6 linked regions of the Cricetulus griseus genome follow. The protein of the gene in region 3 interacts with the protein of the main gene of each other region in a pairwise test. Links are inferred from orthologs where the notes say so. Each region holds a gene or a part of one and is shown on either strand. Other genes may lie near its edges. The genes, in order: Rad23b, Arhgap19, Atxn3, Ewsr1, C3H16orf70 and Dnm2.

What was found.
Region 1: the proteins of Atxn3 (region 3) and Rad23b interact in a two-hybrid assay, tested with the Homo sapiens proteins (2 studies listed by BioGRID and IntAct). The link is inferred for Cricetulus griseus from reciprocal best matches to the Homo sapiens genes ATXN3 and RAD23B.
Region 2: the proteins of Atxn3 (region 3) and Arhgap19 interact in binary tests that used the Homo sapiens proteins (3 or more experiments, as listed by UniProt). The link is inferred for Cricetulus griseus from reciprocal best matches to the Homo sapiens genes ATXN3 and ARHGAP19.
Region 4: the proteins of Atxn3 (region 3) and Ewsr1 interact in binary tests that used the Homo sapiens proteins (3 or more experiments, as listed by UniProt). The link is inferred for Cricetulus griseus from reciprocal best matches to the Homo sapiens genes ATXN3 and EWSR1.
Region 5: the proteins of Atxn3 (region 3) and C3H16orf70 interact in binary tests that used the Homo sapiens proteins (3 or more experiments, as listed by UniProt). The link is inferred for Cricetulus griseus from reciprocal best matches to the Homo sapiens genes ATXN3 and PHAF1.
Region 6: the proteins of Atxn3 (region 3) and Dnm2 interact in binary tests that used the Homo sapiens proteins (3 or more experiments, as listed by UniProt). The link is inferred for Cricetulus griseus from reciprocal best matches to the Homo sapiens genes ATXN3 and DNM2.

What each region holds. Positions count from the first base shown.
Region 1 is NC_048595.1:88,507,044-88,511,125, reverse strand, and holds the start of Rad23b (UV excision repair protein RAD23 homolog B), read left to right. Parts: upstream 1-1,282; 5' UTR 1,283-1,612; coding exon 1,613-1,678; intron 1,679-4,082. UniProt on the Homo sapiens protein: Multiubiquitin chain receptor involved in modulation of proteasomal degradation. Binds to polyubiquitin chains.
Region 2 is NC_048596.1:19,760,191-19,763,690, reverse strand, and holds part of Arhgap19 (rho GTPase-activating protein 19), read right to left. Parts: coding exon 3,450-3,500; intron 685-3,449; coding exon 604-684; intron 1-603. UniProt on the Homo sapiens protein: GTPase activator for the Rho-type GTPases by converting them to an inactive GDP-bound state.
Region 3 is NC_048598.1:104,076,435-104,079,934, reverse strand, and holds part of Atxn3 (ataxin-3), read right to left. Parts: intron 706-3,500; coding exon 541-705; intron 316-540; coding exon 271-315; intron 1-270. UniProt on the Homo sapiens protein: Deubiquitinating enzyme involved in protein homeostasis maintenance, transcription, cytoskeleton regulation, myogenesis and degradation of misfolded chaperone substrates.
Region 4 is NW_023276807.1:99,798,542-99,802,609, reverse strand, and holds the start of Ewsr1 (RNA-binding protein EWS), read right to left. Parts: upstream 2,801-4,068; 5' UTR 2,627-2,800; coding exon 2,614-2,626; intron 1-2,613. UniProt on the Homo sapiens protein: Binds to ssRNA containing the consensus sequence 5'-AGGUAA-3'. Might normally function as a transcriptional repressor. EWS-fusion-proteins (EFPS) may play a role in the tumorigenic process.
Region 5 is NC_048596.1:181,512,141-181,516,209, reverse strand, and holds the start of C3H16orf70 (UPF0183 protein C16orf70 homolog), read right to left. Parts: upstream 2,801-4,069; 5' UTR 2,550-2,800; coding exon 2,486-2,549; intron 1-2,485. UniProt on the Homo sapiens protein: Plays a regulatory role in autophagic activity. In complex with BCAS3, associates with the autophagosome formation site during both non-selective and selective autophagy.
Region 6 is NC_048597.1:134,342,718-134,346,217, reverse strand, and holds part of Dnm2 (dynamin-2), read right to left. Parts: intron 1,848-3,500; coding exon 1,712-1,847; intron 1-1,711. UniProt on the Homo sapiens protein: Catalyzes the hydrolysis of GTP and utilizes this energy to mediate vesicle scission at plasma membrane during endocytosis and filament remodeling at many actin structures during organization of the actin cytoskeleton.

The sequences.
Region 1 (4,082 bases), on a different chromosome or scaffold from region 3:
AAATCCAAATAGTGATATTGTATCCTTGAGGATACTGGCTCAGAGAGGTCGTTTGTAATTGCCCTCACTGTGGTCTGATTGTAACTGCTTTTCATCCATTCTCACTTTTTTAAGTCTAACTAGTAAGAAGCAGCATACAGACAAGCACCTATGGTGTCACTTACTAGTCCTGTGACTGGGTGCTTAATACTTGACACCTCTGCACTCCAGTCTTATATCTGTGTAAATGGACATACTGCTAAAGCTAAGCACTTAACTTTATGCTCCTGACACTAAGACTTTCTTGCACCATTCCACTCTCTCCAACCACCAATGAGACATCTCACTTTTACTGCTAAGGAACCAGAAGCATGTCCACCCATTCCTCCAATGTCCAATGCTAGACGCATTTTGTAGGATCTGGGGGTGTACTGTAGACAGAACAAAATCCATGTCTTTGAGCAGCTTCAGGCTGGGGGTTAGGGTAAAGGAAGAGATGGCATGCATGCTAAATACATATATTGTATATATAGTGATCAGAAGGTCATAAATGTTAGAGAAAAATAAAGCTGGATAATGGGATCTGGATAAGTTGCTACTTAAAGTAGGGTAGGCAGGATAGATTTCACCTAGAAGGCGACATCTGAGCAAAGATTAGAAGGGCCCAGGTGTAAAGGAAAGCGCTTGGGGTGAGACAGAGGGCAACTGCTTAATAGCCACCAATAACCCCACAACAGGTTTAGCAAACGAAGCTTTGAAAGGCGTGAAACAACTAGGCCTCCTTCTTATAACCGCCTTTCTTTGTAGGTCGGAGATCCCAAGGCCAGTGAGAGAACGCAAGATGCGCAAGCAAGCAGTACAGCGCTGGAGTCTGTCGCGGGATCAGAGAAGCAACACCGGCATTACACACGCACAGCCCGCGACGTGCGCCCCATCAGGGCCGGCCCTAGACAATCCTTCCATTAAGGCTCCGCCCGCTCCACCGCCCTCTAGGTTCCATGCTCCTTGCTCCTCAACCACTCAACCCGGTCTCCACGTAGCCGTTCCCCGGCTACGGATTGCGCAACTCGGGCCGCTAGGCGGAGCCTGGACGTAGGCGGGGCGACGGAAGGCGGGCGGACCGGACCAGGCCGCCCAGAGCGCCGCGGCCCGCGATGTGCGCCTGCGCACGCCCGCAGCGCGCCGCCGACATTCCAGCTCCTCCCATCGCCCCGCCTCCAATTCCCGGGCGGAGTTCCTGTTCACGCCTGCGCACTGCCTCGCCGCACCCCGCGCCTGCTCAGATCGCCCGGGTCTGGCCCCATCCTCCGGGTTTTTCTGGTGGGGGAGGGGGCACGTCTCGGCGAGTCACGGTGATGGCGGCCACCATCCTGTGGTGAGGTAGCGGATTCTCTGCGGCTGTCGGGGAGTCCTTCGCGCCTCCTGCGGGCCCGGTGGCTGGCGCGTGAGGAGGCACCGCTGGCCGAGCTTGCGGCGAAGGCGGCGGGATCGGCGGCGCGGCCAGGGGACGAGGGGCCCGGGGCGAGCGAGACTCGGCGGGGCGAATGTGACAAGCCCCCACCCCCACCGCCTTCCTCCTGAGAGCGCGAGGATCGCGGCCACCCCGGGGCGGCCAGGCCCTGGCGCAGGCACCATGCAGGTCACTCTGAAGACCCTTCAGCAGCAGACCTTCAAGATCGACATCGACCCGGAGGAGACGGTACGCTCCGCAGGGCGAGGGGAGCGCGGGCCCGGGTCCGGGTGGCGCGGGAGGGCCCCAGGGGGGCGTGAGGTCACCGCGGGCTTTGTGGGCCGGGAACCGGGAAGGCCTGGAGGCTGATGGCGTGGAGCAGCACGGGCCCGCGCGGGCACTGGAGGCCGCGGCCCGGAGCGCGTGGTCCGTGGGGCCGGAGGGGGAGGGGAGGCCTGGAGGCCTGGGCGCTGGAGCTTGGCCTGAAGTGCACACACAGGTGGGGGAGGGAGACCCAGGCGTCGCCACCACCCTCCCACGACCTGGTTGGGTGCGGAGGTTCAGGGGTCGGTTACTCAAGATGATGGGCCTTAAATGTGCCTGATTTTGTCTGCAGCCAGTGGGTTAAATGAACTCTTTGCCTCTTCGAAGGAACCCTTTTATATATATCTTACCTTGGATAGTTTTACGTCCCCCGCCCCCCCTCCCCAGCCACCGAACCCACACCCACAGGTAGATTACACTCTGGGGCCTCGGTGGTGAATTTTTGCACTAGAAACCTTCAGATCTCGATTTAAACCAGGTCTTTCCGTCGTCTTGGGAACCTGCACGCTCGGACTCCCAGAACAGTAGTAGTATTGGAAGGGAGGAAAAAAAGACTACAAAAACTTTGCGTCCAGAGCCGATTACACTTACCGAGTTCACGTGATAAATTCCAGTGCTGTGGTCTTAAGTTCTGCCTATAAAAAGATGTACTGTATTGAAGTTAATACAACTTTCTGTCAGGACTCTTAAAAATGCCATGCGTGTAAATTTCCTCACGTGCTTGGAATTGTAGTAAGCCAGCAAATTTTTGCATATTTGTGGGTTTTTTTTTAAATGACTGATTCTATTTTGGTTGAAGATCCACGAACGAGGTGTTAATTAAATAGACCCGAGTTCTATTGTGGCTCTGTAACTCATTTACTACAACGTGAACAAATTACCTTGTTTCGTTTTCTGAAGCAGGAATAGCACCAACAGACATGTGAGGATTAAGTGGCATTTATTTAGTTGGTTCATAAATGAGCCCTACTACGTAATCAGTATAGATATGTTTCTGTGAAGACACTGTATTATGTTTTACCTATCTCATCTAATATTGTAAAGTCTCCTACATTTTTTTTTTTTTTTTTTGAGACAGAATTTCTCTCTGGTTTTGGAGGCTGTTCTGGAACTAGCTCTTGTAGACCAGGCTGGTCTCGAATTCACAGAGATCCTCCTGCCTCTGCCTCCCTGGAATTAAAGGAGTGCTAGGATTAAAGGCGTGTGTCACCACTGCCCTGCAATCTCCTACATTCTTAAGAAGCCGAGAATTCCGACCTTTTTGAAATTGTGGCACAAAATGATTTTATATGCAGTTATTTCATTTGCAGACTTCTGCAGTAATTCTTGAAGGTACAGAAAATAACCAATTACATATGAGAACTCTGAAATCTTCTCAGAAGCATTGGTTATAACCTAGTGGACTGTGGCTCTGTAGAATAAAATTCTTAACGGATTTTCCTTTACTACTGAGTACTGTTCGAGACTGGGGATGCAAGCATGTGTGAGTCCCTAAGGTCCATCACCAGCACAGTATGTAAAATGCTTGCTTTCCTTGGCTCATTGGGGGTGATAAATGATGAAATAAGTCATGGTAGCTTTTTGAGCTTATAATATTAATTTATCCCAGAATCACCAAAACAGAAATAGGTCTTACTTTATTTCTTTAATATCTGTATTTGTTGGGATGTTGCAGTAACTTCATATTACTGAAATATGTATGCTGTATAAAATGTGTGCCACACTTTAGGCCTTCTACATGTCTGCTCTTATCTTTAAGCCAGTGCAGTATTAAATTCCTAACTTTGCTTATTGCTTACAAGTTTATTTCCAGGGGATGTAATATTTTACTTTTAGAAATACATGTTTGATAAGTTGTTAGTGACTTCTTTGACTTTGGTTACTAGAGCAAATATTTGTCACTGTTAATGTAATATAAAAACCAGTGTTAAAAATGTTTTATAAGGCATGTTTTGATTCCATGTTTCCCCCTTGTTGCTGGGGATCCAGTACAGGGACTTTGGTTTGGGTTTTATGCACACTAGACAAGCTCTGTACCAGTACTTGCCCCATACCCTCTTTATTTACATCTATAGTGAGTACATACTTTAGCACACACACATTTTCTCTTTTATTTGTTTATTCACTCATGTATTTGAGACAGTGTTTCACTATGTAGTCCTGACTGGCCTGGAACCCACAGAAAACCACCTGCCTCTGCCTCCCCTGTGCTGGGATACAAGCTATATGGCCACTGCCCATCAGGGTTTAGATTAGTTGGTTTTGTTGCTGTTATTCCACAGGTTCCTCTATGTAGCCCTTGCTGTCCTGAAACTCAGAGAGATCCTCT
Region 2 (3,500 bases), on a different chromosome or scaffold from region 3:
TAATCATATCTTTTGCCAAAATAAAAAAAAAGTAAAAACTTTTTAAAAACCCACAAATCCAGACACCACAAACCCTTTCAAGACTTGAGTCCACAATCTCCATTGTGCTCTTCCTACACAGCGTCGAACACCCAGCAAGTCAGAAAGGCATATTTGATTGGTATTTAAATGTATCAAGTCACATAAAAGGCTTCACATTTTACATGTTCTTAGCTATGCTGAGCTCTTAGAGCAATGACACGACCCACAGGACCACTAAAAACTAGATGAGATTTCATGTGTACATTAATTACAGAGCTCTGAAGATGGAAGTATTATGCTTTCTTGAACAGATGTCATAATTCTTTAGGAACAAAAAGGAATTCTTCCAGAATTGTCTAATAGGTAATTATGATTTCATAGACATTATCTGCTTTACCTTCATCTTTGAAAGCAAAGCAAATCAATAATTGACATGAAATTCCAAAGGAAATATATTTTTAAAATCTACAGCCTGAAAATCGGTTGTATATTTCTTTGTTGATGGGTAGTTTGGCATCTACTAACCCGTCAACTCTCAAAGGAAAACTGGCAATTCTTCATTAAATACTTAAGTAGTCTTACTTTTGTGCAGATATTCAATCAGTTGGTATATCTGGGCAATGCCTTCCTCTGTCAGTGGAGATCCAAATACCACTCCTTTTTCTGAAAAAAATATGTCACAGGGCTTTATGACATAAAGAGTACAAGGCCATCAATGTAACGATTCTTTTTACACATATTCATTTATTCAGGGAAAGGGGGCATGACAAACGTGGTGTTCAAGGGACAACTTAAGGAAGATGGTTCTCCCCTTCCACCATGTGGTCCTGGGGCTTGAACTCAGGTCATCAGGCTGGCAGTGGATGCCTTTACTTGCTGAGCCTCCTTACTAGCATAAATACCATGATTTTAAAAGCATTCAAGCATTCTACTTTCATGTAATGTTTTCACAGCATTGGTAAACAAAAATTTTAAGAAAGTAAGACTAAAAACTAGAAATAAACCCCCAAAAAATGCTGCCAGAACAACTGTCAAGTCAATTCTCTCAGAGAATTCAGCATCAGCATCAGATCATGAATTCCTAGAGATGAAGACTTTTCCTTATTTAAGAAACAATACCCAGCACATTGAGATTTAATTTAAAACAAAAAGAGAACCTGAACCATGACTGTGAGTCATGACAATTATTCACTAGAACTGGTATAGGATATGATCTTTAATGTTTAAATATTCCATCCTGCCTTAGTGATTTTCTTATATTTAATAAAATAAAATAAAAATAATAAAATCAGGGCCTCTTTAATATTCTGTCAAAAGTAGTGCTCCAGGAATGGAGAGATAGCTGCTCTTCCAGAGGACCAGGGTTCAATTCCCAGCACCCACATGGCAGCTCACAACTGTCTGTGACTAGTTGCAGGGGATCCAACACCCTTATACAGATATACATGCAGGCAAAACACCAATGCACAGAAATATATATATATATATATATATAAATCATTAAAAGAAAACAGAAGTAGTGCTCTGCACTTCCTGATAGGCTTTGAGGCATGTTCCAAGGGAGAGAATTCATATCTGGTACTGTAAGCCTGGTCAAAAGCCCAAGGCTGGGGAGGTCCATAGGCCTTCAGGAGCAACCTACTATTGTTTTGCTAAATTGTCAAGCTGTTAAACTGTCTTTAAATGTGTATGCTACAGATGTGAGCTGCTCTCAACCTCAAGCAGAAAACCTTTTCCAAGAGGGCATCAGTTAACGTAGAGACTCATAATGGTCACAGTGCTGTGAATAGCTGATATCAATATCAGCATTCTCTACAAAGGGTTCAAGGAACATGAAATAAAAGGGGATGTGTGTGTGTGTGTGTGTGTGTGTGTGTGAGAGAGAGAGAGAGAGAGAGAGAGAGAGAGAGAGAGAGAGAGCACCAGGGGATGGAGAAGAATGCTGTGAAATGCTCTCTTCTGGACATGAAACAGCCACTGTATTTATGAATTCACAGCAACTATGGTTACCTGCATAAGACCCTCACAAGATCAAGTAATCATTAGCATTACAGCCACACACCCCCTCCCCTAGCTGAGGAGCTATTGCTGCTGATGGCTGCTGGAACAGGGAGAGCCATTTTTCTCTGAGTGTGTAGCCACTAGTAAATTCTTCATGTTCCCATAGCCCTGGGCATACAGGCAGCACAAATCAGACTCTGTAGGTTATTTTTTAAAAAGCTAGGCAATAGTGGCACACGCCTTTAATCCCAGCACTCAGGAGGCAGAGGCAGGTAGATCTCTGTGAGTCAGAGGCCAGCCTGGTCTACAGAACGAGTGCCAGGATAGGCTCTAAAGCTACACAGAGAAACCCTGTCTCAAAAAAACAAAAAACAAAAACAAAAAAGCTACCCTGTTCTACATAGCATGTTCTAGGCCAGCCAGAGATACACATGAGATCCTGTCTAAAATAGACTGAAAGGAAGGAAAGAGAACATGAAACTCAGATGGGGATATACTTGGGCAGAGTCCAGGGGAGTTGGAGGGGAAGGAGGCAGACAAAATATATATCTATATAGATATATAGATATAGATATAGATATAGATACATATTTGATCTTCAGTAATTGTTCAGGCTTCCTTGACTATACTACCCTGATATGTAACTTTATTTTCTCTGGTATCATTTTAACTGAACAGAACAGTGCATTCCTGTAGTCCCAGCTAAGGCTAAGGCAAGATGATCACTTGAGCCTAGTGAGATCAGCCTAGGCAACAGAGTGAGACACCAACTCATTAAGAAAAAGAGAAAGGAAGAACGGAAGGTCACTTGAAAAATATTATTTTAGTACAATAACTGGGCATGAAAACTAAGATGCCCTTGATAACTGCCTAAACTAATCATATCCTCTTTCAGGCACTGAATATATCTTCTATCTTCTCTCCTTTCCTCCTTCTCCTCTTTTTCCTCTCTTTCTATGTGTCCAAGTTGCCCTCAGACTTCAGATACTCTTGCCTCAACCACCCAAATGCTGAGATTACAAGATTTGCATCACCATACCAGGTTTAAGTATTTCTTCACATAGACAGTCTTATAATTTTTATTATTACTGCCTAAAGTTCTACTAATGAAAATGAGGGGAGAAGACGAAAAAAGCTTTAGGAGAATTACAACTTCCCAGTGAGAGTGAAAATGTTAAGGGGATAGAGCACAGTTCTGGGAGCCCCTTCAACAGTTAACAGCATTGTTACTCTGGCAGAGGACCTGGCATGGCTCACAACTGCCTGTAACTTCAGTTCCAGGGCATCTGACACCATCTTCTGGCTTCCGTGGGCACCTGCATATACCTGGTACACAAACAAGCAGGCACAATAGATAACATAATTTCTAAATTCTTTTCAAGAGAATAAAGCCCAATCAGCAGCAAAAACCCAGACACAGGACCTACCCTTCCGCTTGAGAGACATTAGAGACCTGAAGAACCCTGCGGCTGGGCCAG
Region 3 (3,500 bases):
TACATAGTGGGACCCTGCCTGTCCTAAGCAAGCAAGCGACCAAAGCCCTGTTCTAAATGAATAGTCTACAGTTCTAATGTTCATCTCTCTGTGGACAGCACTCTGGAGCACAGTCTTATCCTCTCCAGACAGTTTACCGAGGGAACTCCTGAAGGTTCCATCGTTACATAAAAAGCTGTGCCAGGCTGTGCCACATCAACCGCAAACGGAGCGTGAGCACAGCAGCGCTGAAAGTGAGGCAGCACTTCACACACACTCTGGACTACTTACTTGAATAGAGAAAAAGCCACTGTCGTCCATATTTCCAGAAGGCTGCTGTTCAATTTTCATGGGCAGTTGTGGGCAGAGGGATGGGAAAAGGATTAAAAACTGTCATTAGTGTGCACATTTACAAGAACATGCTGTACAGTCCCATTTACCAAGAGAAGAGCAGAGTTATAATTAACAAGTCAGACTCCGAAGGGGAGAATGGCTCATCCTCCTTTAAAGAACACCCGCATGTTAAAAATAAACGGGATTTGGTAAGTCTGAAATCAGTACCTGTAAAAATGTGCGATAGTCTTCACTAGTAACTCCTCCTTCTGCCATTCTCATCCTTTCTTCTTCATCGAGCTGGTGTGCAATTGAGGACAACTCCACGGGGCTAAAATACTCCCCTTGCAATAGATTATTCAGGCAATGCTGAGCACAAAGTGAGCCTTCTTGCTAGTGTTTCCAAAAGAATAAATTGAAATGTGATTTATTAAGCAGATTTATATAGTATCTTCTAAAAAATTTAATTATAACTTTTTAATACAGTCAAACATTATTAGCCTTAGGCAAACCCGATTTACAGGTATATGCATTTTCATTTGTCCACACTTATTTTACAGCCATTTAACTATAGGAACAAAAATGAAGAATGATTTACAGTATAACTTCATCTATCCCATCTCATATAAGCCTAAAAGTGGCCCTATAAAAACATTTAGCCTTTTGAATGTTTTAGTACCTACAAGAATTCGTCTTTTGAGATTCCATGACAAATTACTTCTGGAAAAAGGGAATGTTATCTCCTAGAACATTCATTCTTCTAACTAGTTTGTTGCTATTTGACCTTAAAAGCCTGTCCTTTCAAACTCAGGAACAAGTGGGAACAATTCTGTTTTGGGTTAAGACCCACAGCTCTAGAGCTGAAGCTCTCATCGGCCGACTTTGCAGACTCATTCCATGTAGCATATAGGAAAGAGAAGTGTCCCAAGCTGACGACAGTCCATACCCATGAGTGGACAGGCTAGCGAGAGGAACTGCGGCCAAGTTTAGCTCCCTAAGGAGTCCTTAGCATCCTCTCCTGGAGGTTGGGTACATCATCCCACAAGTCAAGTGGCTTCTAATGCTGGTTAGCTGGCTTTCATACACAAATGGAACGCACTAACCAATCCAGTCAGCCTGACACTGAGCAGCCTTCTTGTCACTCCCCTGCTCCTAACAGTGTTGCTTTCCTAAGCTATGGGTAAAGAGTGGATGAGTCCAGTGGACACAGACCCTAAGCCTGCCTTCTGGGAGGCAGAGGCAGAGAACACTTCCTCTGTTAACTCTGGCTCTCTAAGGGCCAACAAAGCCTACTGAACTCAACCTGCCAGGCATCATGCCCCATGGTCTAAGCTGTTACATGACAAGTGATGACTCCAAAGCACACCTTACAAGATTCACTTTCCCCTGATGAATCAAGGTTATAGGAACAAAATGTAACTGCTGAAGTAGATATAGTACACATGTCTGTCATGGAACAGGCAGAGTTCAGAGAACTTACATCTGACACACAGCTAGAGCAAGCTTATGTTCACAGTCTGCCAAGGCATGTTGCCTAGGGTGGCTTGGAGCTAGTTAAGTATCCCTTCAAGTTGCAGTCACATGGTAACAGAATTCTTTATCTCTGCCTTGTTTTCCTTCTACTGTCCATCTACTGCTAGGAGCAACTTTTACTGAATACCACCCACTACGAGGTAGAAACGTACAGATGTTCTACTTATACCCTATTGAAAATGCAAACATTTCACAAGATAGTCAAGAGGCAAAAAAAAAAAAAAAAAAAAAAAAAAAAAAAAAAAAGATCTCAACTTCTGTAGTCATCATGGACATGTGTATCAAAACCGTAGCACAGGACAAGAGGTGGCTTAGCAGGTGAAGGTGCCCACTGTAAATCCCCAGATGCTACTGTAGAAAGAGAGAATGACTCCTGGGTACTTGCCCTCTGACCTCCACATGCACACCTGGCCATCTGCATGCCAGCACTAGCATGCATGTCACACACACACACACACACTAAAACAATGATTTTTAAATATTATACTTATTAATTGATTGGCTGGAGGGGATGCAGAGGACAACTTGAAGAATTCAATTTTCTCCTTCCATAATGTGAGTCCCAAGGACCGAACTCAGGTTTTAAGGATTGGCAGTACGTGCTTTACTTGCTGAGCTATCTTTCCAGGCCCTAAAAAATGTTTTTGTTGTTTTTCAGACACGGTCTCACTTTGTAGCTCTGGAACTCACTATGTAAACCAAGCTGGCCTCAAACTCATACAAATCTGTTTGCCTCTGTCTCCAAGTGCTGGGATTAAAGGCATGCACCACCACACCTAGCTAAAAATTGTATCTTTTTTTAAAGATTTTATTTATTTATTATGTATACAAAATTCTGCTGCCATGTATATCTGCACACCAGAAGAGGGCACCAGACCTCATAACAGATGGTTGTGAGCCACCATGTGGTTGCTGGGAATTGAACTCAGGACCTCTGGAAGAGCAGTCGGTGCTCTTAACCTCTGAGCCATCTCTCCAGCCCTAAAAATTGTATTTTTTTAAAAGATTTTATTTATTTATTTATTATGTATACAGTCTTCTGCCTGCATGCAGGCAGATGGCACCAGATCTCATTCAAGGCGGTTGTGAGCCACCACCATGTGGTTGCTGGGAATTGAACTCAGGACCTCTGGAAGAACAGTCAGTGCTCTTAACCGCTGAGCCATCTCTCCAGCCCCCAAAAGTTGTATTTTTATAAAAGAAAATTTACAATGTGTTACTATTATCCAGTCTCTGGGTCAGCTATTACAGAGGAGAGGTTTAGAATTATAGAAAATGGTTGTCACAGGAGTTAAGTATAACCTCGGGAAAGCACTCTCCAGTAACTTTCATCTCTACCAGAGCTCATCCATGTGCTCTGCTGTTACACACAGACACTGCAAACGCACTCACCAAAGCACTACTTGTATGCTTCCAAACTGGAAAGCACCCCAACACAGTCTAGATCACAAAAGTGTACTTCCAAAAGAACAGTATAGAAGGATAAAAGTAAATTAAATACAAGTAGCTGCAACAATGTGGATGAATCTCTCAAATACTCTTAAAAAATAAACACACACACACACACACACACACACACACACATAACACTAAAAAAAAGTAGACACAGGAGGTAAGGATGTAGCTAGTGTATGCAAGCCCCTGGGTTCGATCCC
Region 4 (4,068 bases), on a different chromosome or scaffold from region 3:
TTTTCCTTTGAGACAAGGTCTAACTACTTAGCCTCAAGCTAGCTACAGACCCCATACCACTACAACTCTCTACAACCTAATTACCGAGATTACAGGTGTGTGCTACCTTGCCTACTTGTCACCTTCTTTTGTTTGTTTGCTTTTTGAGACAGGGTCTCACTATGTAGCTCCAGCTGGAACTATGTAGATGAGGCTGGCCTTAAACTCTATCTGCCTCTGCTTCCCAAGCTCTAGGATTAAACTATGACTGGCTACATTCTTCATACGAAATAAAATTTTTAAAAACTACGTCCTTCCATGTAGCATTTGTAAAATACACCAACAAAGCATCTAAATCCAAACACTGAAACCTTCATTTTGTTAAAGTTTCTGTGCCAAAAAAAAAAGAGATTTTTGAATCACTGACATTAACCTCAATGTTTACAAAAGACTTATACAAGAGCAGTTACATAAAATTGGCAAAGCTGATACAGAACAGCTAACCAACTCAAATCAGTGTGAAACCGGAGGATTTGGTGGGCTAAGGGAAGCAACCACCCTAACTCATGTGTATCTACCTAATACAGTATACAAATCTCCTACTGTCTCAAACACGGCACTGAAACAACGGTCTGATAATTTAACAATTGAAAAACTATACCCCAAAATACAGTTAAAGAGGCAGGCAAAGGGGCTATGATGGGTGCGGAGGGCTCAAGAATGCCTGGTAATGTTTACTTCTTGTTCTGATAGTAGTTATTTGGGTACTATAATTCTGCTTTATTGGACATACTCTGTAGGCACTATTCTACAAGATACAGATGGAGGGAACTATATTCCCTAAGGCAGAGCCTGACTCAGGGAAGTCACTAGCCAAGCTGCAGAGATGTGGAGATTTAGGCTACATAATGTCTTGGAGCCAACAAGCATTTCTTGGGTCCAAATGCTTTAAGGACTGAAAAGCTCAAGAAACCACCTCGACCCCCTTCAGACAGGGTTTCTCTGTGTAGCCATGGCTGTCCTGGAACTTACTCTATAAGACCATGCTGGCCTCAGATCCATCCAGCTGCTTCTGCCGGGACTAAAGGCGTGTGCCGCAGCCAACACCACCCGGTGTCAAGAAAACTTTGAAAAAGTCTAGCTAAACTCTATTTTCCAGGAAAGGACACTAAGTCCTAAGTAAGATTCCCTCAGCTGGGACAAGGCTGTGGACAAAGCAGAGCATGTTTTTAATTCGAATATGGTTCAAGGTGGTTATCAGCAAACAGGATTTGAACAAAGATGACTAAAAAGCAGCAATTATCAAGCAAAAATCTGCAATTGCCTTGTTTGGCTTTAGTGGGTAAGAAGGCCCACCAAAGAAGCCATTTCCCATCAGGATGTTTTGGGCTGTAGTTTCTCGGTCTCTCTTTAGGGACACTTTTGGTAGCCTGCTATCAAAAGCCAGCATTTACCTGTTTACTGACTACATCGTTGGCGTCGCTAAATTGTGATGCTGGAACCTTTCCCAACCTTCCCCCCCCCTCGATTTCTCCTACTGTCTCCAAAGGCCATATTTCAAATCCCTAATTCCTCCAGAGGCAAACAAATCGCCACCGTGCCAGCTAATCGCGTACCAAACTGCTGGTGCTCGGCTACACTCACTCGCTCATTAAGGACAACATTCGTCACATCCTAGAGTTCCCACCGCCGACTTTTTAAAGTCGGCTACCGGTCTCCTTTCCCTGGCCTCAATAGGGCCAAGAAATAAGCCTGCAAGCTTAATGAGCAAACGCGCGGGGTGAGGCTTTCTGTTTCTCCCAGATCAAAAATGCTAGAAATTTCTGGTTAAGATTCTGCTCTCCGGATCCACACGGCCTTGTTACACAACCGATCCCCCGCGCCGTTTGCTGAGAAAAGGACCCCGGGAAAAGCCACTGCATTTTTTGGATAGGGAAGGTGGTGGAGTTAACACATGATAAAACCGAAGCCTCCGAGTGGGAAGAAGGCAGATCTGCGGGACCCATTAGGTTTAAAGGTGGAGCAGGCCCACTCCGGGTGCAGCCTGGTAGCGCCGAGGCAGGCCTGGAGGATAATGGGGCTCCTACTCCTAAGCCGGCGCCCCTCGGCGCACACACTCGCGACGCCTTTTTGTTTGTTTTCAAATCTGAGTCTTTACACAAGAAACACTTGCCCTCAGGCTAGCAATGGTAAGAGAGGTTACGGGGGCAACCGACCGCGGCTCTTCGAGCCGCCATCCGACACCCCGCCTCACGCGCCTTCGGGGTGATGGGCTCGAGGCCCAGTCGCGGTCCCCTTTGGGCCTCGGAGGCCGCAGGCCCCGCCCACGTGGCGGGAGCCCCGGAGCACCCACACCGACAACCGCCACACAAAGGAGGCCAAGGCGAGCCCCGCACGCCCCAGCTACCGCGAGGCCCTCGCGCGCAACGCGGGCGCCGGAAGGTTCCAGAACCAGCCCGCCTGGTGGGGGAGGGGGAGGGGAACGCGGACCCCCCGAGCTCGTCGGGTCGCGGCGCGAACTCCAACCCTTTTCGGCAATTCCACTCAGTCATCTCTGCCACCCCCAGAGACGAGCGCCCCCCAGTTTGGGTGTCCCGGCCGTCGCCAGCGCGACCGCGATCCCACTCCACTTACCCGTGGACGCCATTTTCTCTCCTTCCTCCTCGTTCTCTCAACGTCCGTCTCCCTCTCGCGTTCCCCCTAGGCGCCGCACTGCGCAGGCGCGAAACCCGCAACCTCGGACGCTACCATAGGGCCGGGCCGCGGGGGTGGGCAAGGAGGTTCGAGTCCGTGATAGTCTGGTTCTTCGCTCCCGAAACCGTTGACCCAATCCTCTCTAAAGAGCCGGACGTGACGCGCGGGCTGAGAAAGCACCTCAGGGGCCAGCGCGCTAGTGAGCGAGCGTCACCAACAAACCCGAGGGATCGTCTGCACGAGGCTGGGTGGTTTGGAATGGTTACGCCCGCCGGCTCTAGGGGCCGTCTCTGAAGAGTCTGTCCTGGAGGGAGACGGAGGCTGGCGGGAGCGCTGGGGGAAGGGATCCCGGCCTGGAACAACTGCTGACTAATCGGCAGGCGGGATCACGCGCCCGCTGTGCGCGCAGTGGGTTTGGGGCACCTAGATCTCGGCCGGGAGCTGGCGGCCTGACTCCCAGGCGGCCCCCCCCCACCCGGTCTTCAGGGTAGGGGGAACGTGCTTCTGGGGACCTCGGACGCGTGGCCCGAGAGGGCGGGGGGAGGGACTGAGGTCGGTCGGCTGGGGAGGGAGGCCGGGATTGCCGCGGCCGACCCCCTTAACCGTCGGAGTTGAGAAGCCCTGTACTCGTCCTTCAACCAATACCCTTGTTTTAGCAGAAAAGGAAACCCGGGCTCAAGAAATTGAGTACTTCCCCCAAAGTTACAAAGCTGAACTCGACCCAGACCCCGGGACTCCCCCCCCCTCTGTGTACCACCCGGAAGCATCATCTTCCCTGTCCTTGAATTCCCATTCTGTCCTCCTGGCTTTCCAATAAGGTAGGCAGGGTGTGATGGTGCATAATTAAGAGGTCTCTGTCGAGGGTTCCAGAGGGACATTGAAGCGGATTGTTTGCGTGTGAATTTTTTTAAGAGTTACTAACACCATGGACAGACTATACAAACACTAGCATGGCGGGCGTGGACTCTGAAGAAATTAGGGCCCATGTGGGAGAAGTAGGCGTGTCACACCTTTCTAAGGATGGGAGTGGTTTCACCGCTTAAGTCTAAAGCCAGGCTCCCAGATTCCCTGGCGAGAGGGCGGCAAGAGAGTGGGGAGCTGGATGTGTGGCCACCAGTGTAAACTCACTTCCTCAGGTGAGAGATCCAGGCACCCGGAGTCTGTTACCTAGGGACTCACCGTGAAAAACTGCTGCTTGTGTTGTGTGCTAGGAGCAGCAGATGAATTCATTACTTGATTCTTACAAGTTTCATTTTATTAATTGAAGATACGGTTGGAGACTGGCCCAGAGCACTGGAGGCCCAGTTCTGTATGTCTATGGACCAGTCCCTTAGTGCTCAGGGATGAAATGGTTGTGAGAAGGTGCAAGAGGAAGCTTCAATTTAGGTGACCCTG
Region 5 (4,069 bases), on a different chromosome or scaffold from region 3:
CCCAAAACAAAAAGCCCTTATTTTTAAAACTTGTGGTTTGGCATCTCATTGGGTAATTTCTAAAATGAGCCTTCTATTTCCTTTAATAATGTACTTATGGGTGTGGTGGCTAATGCCAGAGGTAGGCAGGTGGATCTCTCAGACCAACCTGGTCTACATAGCTGAGTTCCAGGATAGCCAGTGCCATGTAGATACACTGTCTCAAAACAAACAAACAAACAACAAAAAACAAAAACCCAACAAACAAAAATTGGAATCCTGGGATTAAAGTCCTGTGTCATCACACCCAGTTCTGGATTTCCATAAAACTGCAGATTTTAGGGCCAGTAAGATGGCACAGTGAGCAAGGGTGCTTATTGTCAAACTTGATGACCTGAGTTTGATCACTAGGACTCAGATGGCAGAGAGAACCAACTCCCAACTCCTGCAGGTTACACATACACACACACACACACACACACACACACACACACACACCACACACACACACACACACACACACACACACACACACACACACACACACACACGAGTTCCTCCCCCATACATTTTTTTTTTAAATGTGTATGGATGTTTGCCTGCTGAAGCCAGAAATGGAGAGTGTGTGTGTGTGTGTGTGTGTGTGTGTGTAAAATCAAACTCTGGTACTTCCCTCCTAAATAAATTTAAAATAACAAACACAGACTTGGGAGCTGGAGAGATGCCTCAGTGGTTAAAGAGCATTAGCTGTTCTTTCAGGGGGCCCTGGTTCAATTCACAGCACCCACCGGGCAATTCACAACTGCTTGTAACTCCAATTCCAGAGGATTCTATATACTCACAGACAAACATGCAGGCAAAACAATGCACATGAAATAAAACAAAAACAAACAACCCCCCAAACCAGACTTTAGATGGATATGGTGGCACACTCTTGTTTGATCTCTAGTACTACACAAACCCATTTGGCAGAAATATTATAGGTCAAAATCAACTTCAGCTACATAGGGAGTTTGAGGCCAGTCTGGGCTAGGACCTGTCTAAAACACAAACAAACAAATTAAACCCAACTTAAAAACAAAAACAACAACAATGAGAATGTTTACAAGTAATCACAAAGGTTCAGATCCTTCCTGAGTTTCCCCCCAAAGTTCAACTCTGAACCCAGTGTACTATTATTTTTGGCTACTGCAGACAGTTTGAAAGAACTACTCAAATCCTTGGTTCCTGAAAACTGGCAGCTTAGGGTTTGATTGTCAAACATTTACCAGGAGTCCCTTGGTAGTTAGTTAATATAGCTCAGTGTTCTGGAAATGTCCTTACCCCAACCAATCTCCTATATTCACTAAATCAAACAAAGAGATCCAGTCTAATTGTACCATCTGAAGTCTGAACGCTGTGGTTCTTAGCCAGTGCAGGAAGGTCTAGGTTAGGTAGGAGTTGTCAGGGAAGAAAAGGATATTAATTAGAAGTCAAACACCATTAGTTCTTCAATCAAGCTCCTGGTGCCTCACAGTTGAATGGAACATTTTCATAGCACATTCAATTTTGCTAACTCTATAAAACAGGAAAGTCTAAATTCTGAGAAAAGAGAGCCAAGACTCCTTGATAAAACTGACTTCTACAGCCGGCAGGAGGTAGGCAGCCACCGAGCCCCAGCAGGTTCTTTGCAGCAATCTACCCAGCTAGTTTTCTCCAATATGCTGTTTCTATAGATCTGAATCTTTTACATTCAAGGATAAGCCATAATCAAATGGACCAGCTGACTCAGTCTAGGAGCCCACACCAGAGTGACAGAGGTTCAGGCCCACACAAACAAGCAGCAGCAGCTGTTTCCTACCCCTCATTTCTTACCGCTGGCATAAAGTAAACACACTGGAGTTACTAAATACAAATATTCTTGTTCACATAAAAGGCCCAACTAACCCAAAAGTGAACAAACTGAACTGTCTACAAAGCTGTGTGTAATTTCCACTTCACTCAACTTTTCACTCTGGCATCTAGTATTACGACATCACACGTTAAGAGAACGAGTCAGAAGTTCCTTTAACAAAAGCAAGCTCAATTTCCCGCACCACTTGATTATGAGATACGAACTTAGGTTTTCCTTCCAAAAGAGGTAACCCATGTCCCCCGACCCCTCTGCACCTTTCTAAAACCAAAGGAAGATAGATCAGAGACCAGGGGGTTGATCAGGGGTGCTACCCATTTATTAACTAGCCTGCAAAATGGACATAGCAATCAACAGTATCTATCCTCAGACCCCAGGGATGGTTACTAGAGACCAATTCAAAAGCGCAGGACCTTCTCACAAGTATCTGGGGTGTACCAGCTCCTAAGAGGACCCTGCTGAAGCCCTATCCTATGACCGACGGGAGGAGAGGATATTTAAAGCCTGGAACCAGAGGGTACGAAAAGGCGGAGAGCCGCGGACGCAGCGGCATCTGGGGCAGAGACCAGCTGCGGAAGGGGCCAGCGAATAGGGTCTTGAAAGGATCCCACTCACCCAGCGTGAATTCCCATTGCTCGTTCCCCAGAGAGCGTTCAGGCACCACCTCCAGGTCCAGCATTGGTTCGGTTCGCAGGGCCGGGCGGCCTCCCTGCAGCAGCGCAGACAGGACCCGGCCTGGGGAGACCACGCAGATGCTGACTCGCCGCTCTCGCCAGCCCGCGGACGTCCGGCTCTCCACTCCGTTCCGGACAGCGGCAGAAGCACCGACACAACAACACACTTCACCTCCCTTCACCTCCCGGGCAGCAGCCGCGGCAGGACCAGCAATAGCAGCAGGCGCGACCGGAGCAACTGCAGCAAAAGTGGCGTGCCGGGCCGTAAAGCGTGGCAGAGGCGGAGCTCAACCTAGGGGGCGGAGCCTGAGGAGGAGTCACGCACGCGCGAATTCTGTAGTGGAGGTCTGACCGGCGAGGCGGCGGCCGAGTAGAGCAGGAAGGACGGCTGCTTTAGAAGCTAAGGGCCACATTCCCGAGGCCCTAAAAAAATGCATAGCACCCCATACGTGCCTACACAAGGAAAGGGACAACGCCCACAACACATCACACAAAAATAAAGCTGCCGTATACACACCTGCCAGGACAGGAAGGCTCAAAGACTCACGGCCTGCGGGCATCCCACAATCATCTCTGTCTTGCCATAGTACTGACGCCGGCTGCAACAATCTTTAGCTGTGCAGAAATGGACTCCTCCTCGGACCTAGTTGTTTCTGAGCGGGGTCCACCTTATAGTTGAGGATGTGCGAGTGTTGGGTAAGGGCTAGGGGCCAGAGGATTGAGTGAAAGGGCGAAGGGTTCCAAGCCAGGTCTCATCCACAAGTGCTCAAGTTTGGGGCATACGTTCTAAGGATAGAGGCTGCCTCCAGCAGCTCCGCCTGAAACCAGCTTTGCTGCTTGCTAATGCTTTATGGTCTTGCCCAAACCCTTTAGCATTCTGTGCCTGTTTCCCCTGAGTGAAGAGGGGCATCTCTGGCTGTGTTTAGCCTTAACTCTCCGCCTGTCTGCACTAGGGCATCCCAAAATTAAAAAGCTGCGGAAGCCACTTTTGATGACAAGACTTTGCACCTTCAGTCTCATAGAGGGATAAATGGGGCTTAGGGAGTTTATCCAAGGTTTCTTGATCCTAGGAAGCAGAGCTCAATTACCATTATTGTGCCCCAAGGATTGTATTTAGCAGGGAAGTGACAGACTAAATACTCAAACTGGCTACACTGGAGCATACAGGGGATGTTTCATCAAAATTTGAAGTCATTGCTATGGGCACTAGACAAAACAAAACTAGTAGGATGTCTTTGAGTAGCATCGTTGCATGCCAAAACAACAACTGGGTCACTGGGATGTCCAGTGGGGAAGAGGATGAATAAAGGCTGTCACGTGTAGTTAGATATGTTTAGAGGCTGGGTGTGGTGTTTGTGCCTGCCAGAAATCCCACAGTTGGGCTATAAGGAAGTTCAAGGTCACGCTTGAGAGTTCAAGAGTTCAAGGCCAGCCTGAGACACTGGGGATGAGTCTCCAAAAACAAAAAGTGGATCCCCACCCCCACCTAAACTGATCTTTAATTCAAACCAGACTGGGAATTATT
Region 6 (3,500 bases), on a different chromosome or scaffold from region 3:
TATCACTGTAGTGATATTCACCTCCGCACCTGTAGCACCAAAAGGGTGTGGTCACAGGTGTGGATGTGGTCAGTTAAAAGGCAAAGAATTGGGGCTGGGAAGCCCTTTCGGGTCGTAGACAGCACCAGGGTAACAGGGTCTGCATCCTTGGAGCTGGAGCAATGCATAGTCACTTGTTTCCTGTGTAAGTTCTTTTTCCCCAATAAACTCCACTTCACTTATACTGAGTCTAGTGAATCCTGATTTCCATGCCTATAGGCACCCCCAAAATCTATTTGGTAGAAGGAAAGAACTCCTAAAAGTTGTTCTCTGACCTCCACACACTAAATAGATACCACCCCTCTCACCACACACACACACACACACAAAATTATACATAAAGCTGGGTGTATTTGGCTGCAGAGATGGCTCAGCATTAAGAGCACTGGCTGCTTTTGCAAAGAACCTAGCACCCACATAGTGAGTGGCTTACAACTGTCTATAACTCTGGTTCCATGGGATCCTCTGCCCTCTTCTGGCTTCTGCAGGCAATTAGGTATGTGTACTTACACACATCAGGACAAACACTCATAAAATAAAAAAGATAAAGTCTTTTCAGTCAGCAGGTCTAGCCTACTGGTTAACTTCTAGGCAGATGAGAGATGCCATCTCAGAAAAAGGACAGGTGGACCAGGGCTCTATTGGTTGAGTGCTTGGCACATACACATGAATAAACTGCATGTGATAATAAACATGACTGTAACCCTAGCACAGGATGATCACAAGGTCATGACTGACTGAGAATTTAAGGCCAACTTAGGCTACAATGAGACCTTGCCTCAAAAAATAAGAGTAATAGCTGGGATTGGGGGGGACGGGGACGGGGACGGGGACGGGGACGGGGACGGGGACGAGCACACTCCTTTGGTCCCAGTTTGAGGCCAGCCTGGCCTACAGATTAAATTCCAGGACAGAGAAACAGTCTTGTAAAAACAAACATAAAAGCGAGTGACACTGGATGCTGTCCTCTGACCTCCATACTGGCTGGTATGTCTGCACCTATGCATGCAAGACAGTCACTGCCTCAAAGGAAAAGGACACAAACGCACACTTTGCTTACTTTTTTTGTTTTGTTTTGAGACAGGACTTCTTGCTATGTAACCTGGTTGTCCTGGAACTCAGAGACTGACCTGCCTTTGCCTCCCAAGTGCTGGGATTCCTGGCTTTTGTTTTTGATTTTGTTTGAATTTGTTTCACTTTTTTGAGACAAAGTCTCCTGTAGGCCACATAGTTTCAAACTCACTTTCCTCCTGAGCTTACAGAATTCTGGAAATATTGCTGTAAGCCCAGAATTGTATAAGATTTTTATTTGTTGTATGTGCATGTTTGTAGGAGGGGCTGAGGTTCATCAGAGGAAACTTCCCAGGAGTTGGTACTCTGCTTCCTATTGGAGATAGGTGCCTTTACCTGCTGATCCATCTTGCTGGCCATCACGTATCTTTTTCCCTTCATCAATGGAAGAAACATGGACTTTCCTACTGTCCTGCCCAGAACATCTAATCTGTGAGATCTGGGAAGATGGATGTGACATGCCCTTCAGGCCATGTTTACTGACAGCAGCCTCCAGCATGATGCAGAGCTCCTGACATCTTGCTTTGGAAGAAAGTTTAAGGCCACGACAGAGACCAAACACATCCGGGTGTCTGATGTACCCTCCAGACTGACCACCTACCTTTACCAGTTCAAAGGGAAAGCGTTCATGAAAGATGCGATTGATTCGGGCCCCCCCAGACAGCTCCAGTGTGTCCACTTGGTCTCCAGAGCCCTCGATTCGCTTCTCAAAGTCCACTCCAAACTGCTGGACCATCCTTCAAGGAAAGAAAACAGCCAAGACAGAAGTTTCTGTGGCAAACTTTGTTTCTTAAAAAGACATTTAAGTTACATGTACTTACTGGGGGAGGCATGCCACAGTGTACAAGTAGGGTTGGGGGTGCTGTGGGAGTCAGATCTCTCCTGCCACTATGTGAGTCTTGGGGATAAGTACTTGGGTATCAGTCTTGGCAGCAAGCATGTTTACCCCCTGAGCCAACTTGTCAGTCCTGTGGATAATTTTCTTGTCTTTTACATTTTGTTGTTTTTGAAGACAGGATCTTGCTTTGTAATCCCAGGTGGCCCTGAACTAAAGACCTTTATGCCCAAGCCTCCAAAGTGCTAGTATTACAGGTGTATGTATGCCACCATGTTTGGCCATTTTTTGTTCCTTTTAAATATAACTTGAACAGCCAATGTATACAAGGGTTTTTTTGTTTTGCTTTTTTTTTTTTTTAAAGATTTATGTATTATGTATACAATGTTCTGCCTGCATATGTGTCTGAACTCCAGAAGAGGGCACCAGATTTCATTATAGACGGTTGTGGTGGTTGGGAACTGAACTGAACTCAGGACCCCTGGAAGAGGCCTCTGGAAGAGCCAGTGCTCTTAACCCCTAAGCCATCTCTCCAGACTATGTATACATGTTTTTAAAAAATGATTAAAATAGCACAGCTGCTTTGGCAAGCACTGGGCACCATCCTGGTTGTTCTCATGGACTCTATGCAGCCCTTGATTTATCGTATGACTGTCAAGACAGCAGGTCCCAACAGGCCAGGGGGGCATCTGTAGTTTCTGTTGCCTCTCTACCCTGGTTGCATAGGGCTCCACCATAGACAGGCTGGGAAAGTTTGATTAAGTGGCACTGCACTGTGAGCCTCAGTCTGAGTATATGCAGAGCAGGCTAACAGGATGAGCACTGGAGTGCTTGGCAACCGTTAAGCAGCACATAGATAGTTTGTGTAACAACAGAAAAAGAGAAGTGTATTTGTGGGAGGAAGGGTGGTCAGCAATCTGGTTCAATGTGTAAAGGCACTTGTCACTGGGAAGAAAATGATGCAAGGAAGACACCGACTCCTCAATGTCACCCTTGGATCTCTACATTCTGGGCTATAAGATATGCACCCCCTCATCCCCTCAAAAAAAAAAAAAAAAAAAAAGGAATAAAAGGCTGTAAGGATTGCTGCTGTCACAGACTGCTTTTGCCACCACACTCAGCTGATCACAATATATTAGCTCATTCTCTTGCTTTTTTTTTTTTTTTTTTGTGCCATGTGTGACACAGGCAGGAGAAAGGATGCTGTCCAGTGTCTTCCTAAATCCTTCCCTGTCTTACTGACAGTTTCTCACTGAACACAATTTGGCTGGACAAGCTGCCCAGGGAACACAGATCATTTTGTCTCCGCAATCCCAGTGTGTGGATGCTTATCTTATATTACATGGATGCTGGAGATCCAAAACTCAGGTCCTCCGACAACTCTACCAAGTTAGCCTCCTTTCCAGCTCCTGGCTTCAAACAATTCTTATCTCATTTTATTAACATGTGTCTGGGTGAAGAACAGAAGAGGGCATCAGATCCCCTGGTGTTACAGTTCTAGGTGGTTGTGAGCTGCCATGTGGGTGCTAGGAACTGAACCCAGGTTCTCTGCAAG